Xenopus tropicalis: one gene and its partner. The protein of the gene in region 1 purifies or fractionates together with the protein of each later gene. This does not show direct contact. Links are inferred from orthologs where the notes say so. Each region holds a gene or a part of one and is shown in the gene's direction. Other genes may lie near its edges.

The links.
Region 2: the proteins of cnot10 (region 1) and capzb purify together in Homo sapiens (co-immunoprecipitation; 3 studies listed by BioGRID and IntAct, with this or other methods). This does not show direct contact. The link is inferred for Xenopus tropicalis from reciprocal best matches to the Homo sapiens genes CNOT10 and CAPZB.

The regions. Positions count from the first base shown.
Region 1 is NC_030682.2:50,256,036-50,259,730, forward strand, and holds the end of cnot10 (CCR4-NOT transcription complex subunit 10), read left to right. Parts: intron 1-2,571; coding exon 2,572-2,738; 3' UTR 2,739-3,057; downstream 3,058-3,695. UniProt on the Homo sapiens protein: Component of the CCR4-NOT complex which is one of the major cellular mRNA deadenylases and is linked to various cellular processes including bulk mRNA degradation, miRNA-mediated repression, translational repression during translational initiation and general transcription regulation.
Region 2 is NC_030683.2:129,996,401-130,000,226, forward strand, and holds part of capzb (F-actin-capping protein subunit beta), read left to right. Parts: intron 1-3,129; coding exon 3,130-3,271; intron 3,272-3,554; coding exon 3,555-3,671; intron 3,672-3,826. UniProt on the Homo sapiens protein: F-actin-capping proteins bind in a Ca(2+)-independent manner to the fast growing ends of actin filaments (barbed end) thereby blocking the exchange of subunits at these ends.

The DNA.
Region 1 (3,695 bases):
GCACTGTATTAAGGAGAGGATGAATGGGGCCATGTATTGTGAGATTTTGAGCAACGACCTCCTTCCCTCAGTTAGAGCATTGAAGATGGGTCATGGCATATCAAGGTTCTGGAGTGGCCTAGCCAGTCTCCAGACCTAAATCCAATAGCAAATCTTTGGAGGGAGCTGAAACTCCGTGTTGCTCAGCGACAGCCCCGAAACCTGACAGATCTAGAGGAGATCTGTGTGGAGGAGTGGGACAAAATCCCTGTTGCAGTGTGTGCAAACCTGGTCAAGAACTACAGGAAATGTTTGGCCTCTGTAATTGCAAACAAAGGTTTCTGTACCAAATATTAACACTGATTTTCTCAGGTGTTCAAATAGTTATGTGCAGCAGTGAAATACAAAAATATTCTTTAAAAATCATACAATATTATGTCCTGAATTTTTTTTTTAAATGCTGTCTCTCACAGTGGGAATGCACCTACAATGTGAGTTTCAGACCCCGCCATGATTTCTAAGTGGGAGAACTTGCAAAATCGCAGGGTGTTCAAATATGTTCCTCACTGTAGCTATAGGAATCGTGTTATTTGCCTACTGGCAGCACCAGGGTTAATTTTTTTATTCTCTTTTCTCTTTTAAATGTCATTTAATTTAAGTGTTGGTGGGGGAAATTCTGAAGTGTTTTTACTCATTTTCTAAAGGCTTTCTATATATGACTGAAATCCATATTTCTACTGAAAGTAATTCGAGTTGTACATTTGTGTAATTGCATGGGTCCACAGCTGCGAAACCTCTCTCTCCATTGCTCCTTATATCTGTGCTTCCGATCTACGCTTTCTGCTTGCATGAAATAAGTATGCAAAGGTTCCAGCAGAGGAGTAGAATCCATATCCCATGCATATTTTATAAATGTAACATCATTTAAGTGAATATCCAAATTGCTTCATATCCCGATCCTCATGGGCATTCCCTGGTGCCATACTTGAATCATTAAAGTTTCCTTGCATGATACATTTACCCACTAGGGTTCCCATTCAAGAAAATCAATGTTCACAAACGCTCCACTGTGGTTGTCTCTCTGACAGATGGCATTGCCATGAGATCATATTTACACTGGAACAGGCATTCTGACATTAATATATTGGCACGTTATTGCATTATGCTATTCCCAGACACATTCTCTATTAGACCTTGAAAAATATTTGCATCCAGCATCCACATTTTCCTTTGTGTAATCCTAGCTCCTATAAAATGGGTTCTGCTGCTCCCCATGGATTGATTCCATTTAAACAAATTAGACCTAAAAGTGGGCAGTACTAGGCTTGGCCATTATAAAGATGTTAAGTGATTCAGTTGTCAGGGACCTGTTATCCAGAATGCTTGGGATCTGGGGTTTTCTCAATAAGGGATCTTTCCATAATTTGGAACCCCATACATTAAGTCTACTAAAAATCATTTAAACACTAAATAAACCAAAAATTATTGTTTTGCATCCAATATGGATTCATTATTTCTTAGTTTGGACCAAGTACAAGGTACGGTTTTATTAATAAAGAGAAAAAAGAATTTTGTAAAATTTTGAATTATTTGATTATAATGGAGGACATCGGAGCTGGCCTTCCCATAATTTGGAGCTTTCTGGATGACAGAACCCATACATTTACCTGAAATTAATTGGAAACATACATTTTGTTTACTTTTGGGACAAAATGATATACTAGGGAAAAAAGGTAAAGCCTACTTTTGTGTTTGCGTGTTGAAGTTTGGCAGAAATATACCCATGTTTTGCTGTATGGCTGGGATTTTGGATGCACACACTCAGCATCAGAGTACAGAGCATTTACTGTAATAACAGAAATAAACCTAATATTGAAGAAAATAAAGTGTTAAATGAAATTGAACTGTACATGCTAGCTAGATAAGGGCTTGTACTCTCACACATTTCTTTCTGTGCTGCTCGACAGTGGCGTTCTCCTACGTTCCACCGCAGGGGAGCACAGGGATAAGTGCAACCCTTTCTTCCTAATGGGGCTGTACTAACGCAGGCACAGGTCAGCACCAAAAGCAGGGGAATGCAACATTAGTACAGACCCATAAGGAAGAATGGGAAGCACTTCTTCCTGTGCTCCCCCCGCGGTGGAACGTAGGAGAACGCCACTGTCAGGCAGCACAGAAAGAAACACGTGTGAGTACGAGCCCTAAAAGTCTTCCTTGCAGAACACTTCTTGTTCAGAAATATTCTTTGGTTGTGCACAAGCACTGTGTGTCGACCCTAAAACTAACTATAACAGTAATCTGGGGACTGTGAAGGCCTTCCCTAAACCTTGAAATCAGATTTATTTTATTTTCAGCTTTGGTTGCGGACGTTTAAATATTGATTAATTCAGATTTTAGCTGATCAGCATCAAACAACAATAAAATATTCTGTATCTGGTATAAAAGAACAACATAAATCTAAGGCACAACAATAGGCTGGTTTAAGTGTAATGGTTGTTCGGGTCAAAGCATTTTGTAAAATGTTGAAACATCCAAAGCCAAATAAAACCAATCTTTCTGCTCAAAGCACTGTATTTATTTTTGTTTTTGTAGGCAATACCCAGCTGGCCTTGCAGATCATCAAAAGGAATCAGCTTCTCCCGTCCATCAGAATGATGTCAGATCTTCGAAAGAAGCCATTATTCCAGACAATGCATCAGCCAATGCAGCCAATGCAGCCAATTCAGATGCCAGCTTTTACTGCTGTTCAGAGAAAATGATTTATGGTGGTCCAGGGACTTGTAGAGAACATGGCCTCAAACCATTCAACTCAATTACTCAGTGATCTGGCGAATGTTCTTGGCATACTTCACTCCTGCTTTATCCACAGTATACATAATGTACAAAGGATCACATGTGCCAGGTTCATCAATTTTAACCAAGTAGGAAATCATGCCCTGTGACCTTTGACATGGGATTTCATCCTTGTTTTTGTAAGGAATGGAAGAAGTCATGACTTTTATATATAAAAAAAAATGTAAAGCCATCATATGGTCAGATTAGGATAACACTGGTATATTAAAAGTATTTTCTTGCTCACTTGTGTGTGTGTGTAGTAATGGTTGGAGATGGGAATGGTTATTGTGGGTATAGAATATCTTAAGGGCCAATTTAACTGGCTAGTTTAAGTTGACCAGTACTTGCCATTGAGCACAGAGCTTGATATAGGGGTTGGCTCTGTGCGCAGTGTACAACATGATATATAAAGCCAGATAATAGCAAGCTAGATAAGTTTAAAGGAAGGTAAAAACTAAGTAAGCTTTATCAGAAGGGTCTATGTAAATACAGCCATAAGCACTCACAGAAACGCTGCACTGAGTTCTCTGTCAAAAGATTTGTTGTGTCTGTTTTCTTCTGCCAGAGACACGCAGCTCTCTCATCTCTCCCCCCTCCCTCAAGAATGCTAAGAACTCACTCCCTTCTCTTGCTCTTGGTGCAGGAGCGAGGCATTATGGGAACTTTCTTTACACAGCTCAGCATTTTTTCTTCCTGTTTGGCTTCTGATCATCTGAACAGGAGAAATATGGGGAGACTTAATGGCACTATTGAGAGAACTAAAGAGAACTCTTTATTAGCCTTTCCTTCTCCTTTAAATAAGGGTGATTGTAACCACTTACCTTTATACCCCAGACTGGTGCTTCTATTAGCAAAAAACTGCACCACGCCGGTTCCAGCTT
Region 2 (3,826 bases), on another chromosome or scaffold:
GTAACATATAAAGTTGGACTCGGCTGCGGCACCGACACGGTGATGTCAGGATACAGTCAGTGCCGAGCCAGCCCGGCTTTGTACCCCTCGTAGCCCCCCAAATGGTCAGATAAACAACTGCCCCCTGCCAGTGACAAGCCCCAGGCCTGGGGGCTCCTTCCTACCAACATGGACTGGAACTGTGGGGGCTGTATCCAGTATTTATTATGTTGGGGGTGTAGAACGCAGGCTGGTGCTGCCATACTGTTAAGCCCAATGTTCCAGTAGCAGGGGGTTGTAGTTCAGCAATAGCCAGAGAGGCACAGGGCAGGGACAAGGGGCATAGGGCTTGGCAGGGCTACTAAGCATACCATCTAACTGGGAATCATGGGAAATGTGACTGACAGGCCACAGATTGCAGGTTTTTGCCCTAATGCCCCTGTGGCGGATTGGGTCAGGGAGACATGGGGTAATTCAGTGCACATATCATTGGCTAAGGGGCAATAAAATGTTGCTGCTTCTCACTGATGGGGGCGCTGTGCTGTATGAGGGGGATTAGGAGTCAAGCTGTACCTATTGTGTAGCCCACAGCAGCCAATCAGATATTAGGGTTATCAATCAGATTCTAATGGACTGATGAGAGGAAACTGCTGATTGGTTGCCATGGGTTACCAGGCAGATTATAAATAAAAGTGGGAAGTGTAATGATTTGCTGTATCAGCACAGACTGTGACCCTGCTTGGCCTATGGGAGAGTCTGTGCGGTACAGTGTGCGGGGGGGGGAGAACTGACAGTGCGGGGGGGGTACTGTATCTCATTCCCCTGTGGGTGCCAGCTGGCTTGGCGCACGTGCTGGGTGCTGCTGGCACCGGGGCGCTGCACCTGCGTATCCCAGATTGCATTGCACCCTGGCGCCACCTCCGGGTGTGTCGATTATACTCCAGCCCCATAGGGGGGGCACTAGGAATCAAACTCCCCCTCTCTCGTTTGGCTGCACTGAGATAATTTCTGCCCTTTCTGCCCCCAACGTTCCACCCTGTTTAGGTGGAGACTGAACTGTCATTTCCTATAAGTTACTGAGTCATCCGGCTATTTACGTGCCGCCACGGAGTCAGAACCAGCAGTGCAGGGAAGGGAAAGGGACAGACACAGTGACAGTTACACATAACTATAAACCCAGTGAGAATGAGGAATGAATGGATATTGGGGAGTTGTATCAGGAGTCAGAACCAGCAGTGCAGGGAAGGGAAAGGGACAGACACAGTGACAGTTACACATAACTATAAACCCAGTGAGAATGAGGAATGAATGGGTATTGGGGAGTTGTATCAGGAGTCAGAACCAGCAGTGCAGGGAAGGGAAAGGGACAGACACAGTGACAGTTACACATAACTATAAACCCAGTGAGAATGAGGAATGAATGGGTATTGGGGAGTTGTATCAGGAGTCAGAACCAGCAGTGCAGGGAAGGGAAAGGGACAGACACAGTGACAGTTACACATAACTATAAACCCAGTGAGAATGAGGAATGAATGGGTATTGGGGAGTTGTATCAGGAGTCAGAACCAGCAGTGCAGGAAGGGAAAGGGACAGACACAGTGACAGTTACACATAACTATAAACCCAGTGAGAATGAGGGATGAATGGATATTGGGGAGTTGTATCAGGAGTCAGAACCAGCAGTGCAGGGAAGGGAAAGGGACAGACACAGTGACAGTTACACATAACTATAAACCCAGTGAGAATGAGGAATGAATGGATATTGGGGAGTTGTATCAGGAGTCAGAACCAGCAGTGCAGGGAAGGGAAAGGGACAGACACAGTGACAGTTACACATAACTATAAACCCAGTGAGAATGAGGAATGAATGGGTATTGGGGAGTTGTATCAGGAGTCAGAACCAGCAGTGCAGGGAAGGGAAAGGGACAGACACAGTGACAGTTACACATAACTATAAACCCAGTGAGAATGAGGAATGAATGGATATTGGGGAGTTGTATCAGGAGTCAGAACCAGCAGTGCAGGGAAGGGAAAGGGACAGACACAGTGACAGTTACACATAACTATAAACCCAGTGAGAATGAGGAATGAATGGGTATTGGGGAGTTGTATCAGGAGTCAGAACCAGCAGTGCAGGGAAGGGAAAGGGACAGACACAGTGACAGTTACACATAACTATAAACCCAGTGAGAATGAGGAATGAATGGATATTGGGGAGTTGTATCAGGAGTCAGAACCAGCAGTGCAGGGAAGGGAAAGGGACAGACACAGTGACAGTTACACATAACTATAAACCCAGTGAGAATGAGGAATGAATGGGTATTGGGGAGTTGTATCAGGAGTCAGAACCAGCAGTGCAGGGAAGGGAAAGGGACAGACACAGTGACAGTTACAGAGTGACAGATGATAGTTTGGGTTTATATGCCCTTTAATAAGCCGTATGATTGGATAGTGTGGGTGAGACTGCTGCAGCAGACAGGGAGTTAATATCCAGCTCTGAGCAGATGTTGAACAGCGCGGAGCTTATAGGGGATTCTGGGATTTGTAGTTGAATAGCAGCCGCCCTGCAGTGTGAGTGGGGGTGCCAGGGCTGTGTGGGACCAGGCAGGAAGGGGTGCAGGGGGGGCGGAGTTTGCCATGTGTTTGCTGTTAGTGGGGGGGGGGGCTCAGCTGGGTACAGACATCAGTTTAGCACATTCCTCAAATACCCATAAAAGCCCTTATGTAAAAACTCATCAGCCTTAACCACATCAAACAGCTGCAACCGCCTCTCAATCCCCTCACCTCCTGCCCCCTGCTGGTAGCAGTTTGTAATGCACCCATTGGCTGGTAGGAGGGTAATACACAGTGCAAGCTCCCAGCTCCCCCTGCTGGTAGCAGTATGTAATGCACCCATTGGCTTGTAGGAGGGTAATACACAGTGCAGTCTCCCAGCTCCCCCTGCTGGTAGCAGTATATGTAATGCACTTATTGGCACATAAAGGTCTAAGAGGCCAGTACCAATTTATTTCCCAACACCACCTTCTGGCAACTGCATGTAATGCAGCCAGTGGTGGAGGGGAGGGCAATACACAGGGAGCTCTACTACCCCCTCCTGCTGGCAACTACATGCGTTCCAGTTTGCATCACATTTGCCCCCCCTCCCCGCAGGTATTTTGAAGGGGGCGTGTCTTCCGTGTACCTCTGGGACCTGGACCATGGCTTCGCAGGAGTGATCCTTATCAAGAAAGCCGGGGACGGCTCCAAAAAGATCAAGGGATGCTGGGACTCCATCCACGTGGTTGAGGTTCAGGTAAGAGCCACGAGCTGAGCAATATCCTTAGGGCCACAAGCGGGGGGTGAGCTGCCAGGTGTTCAGCACAATGCAGTGAGGAATGGGCCCCGTGCGTGACTGCTCCTCGTTTAGGGGCCGCTCTGCTAATAAGGAAAAGCAATGGCCCTGGGGGGTTGGGGGGGCGTATAATTTGTTTCTAAATTCCTGAACATTTTGTTGTTGTGTTTTTACCTTGGGCTACGGCTGCCTGAGCGTCTCCCGAGCGTTTAACCCTTTCTCCCCTTAACCCTGTCCCCCCCAGGAGAAATCCAGCGGCCGCACCGCCCATTACAAACTCACCTCCACCGTCATGCTGTGGCTGCAGACGAACAAGACCGGATCGGGAACCATGAACCTGGGCGGAAGCCTGACCCGACAGGTACTGTACAGTGGCCTACTCTCAGCAGCTTTCCAATTGGTCTTCATTGAACCGACGTTAATACATCCCTATGGCTTGGGACAGAGTGGGAGGGAATGTGGCGAATGTTCTATGTAACTGCCCCGTGGGGGTCATTCCCCGGGCTCTGTAAGAAC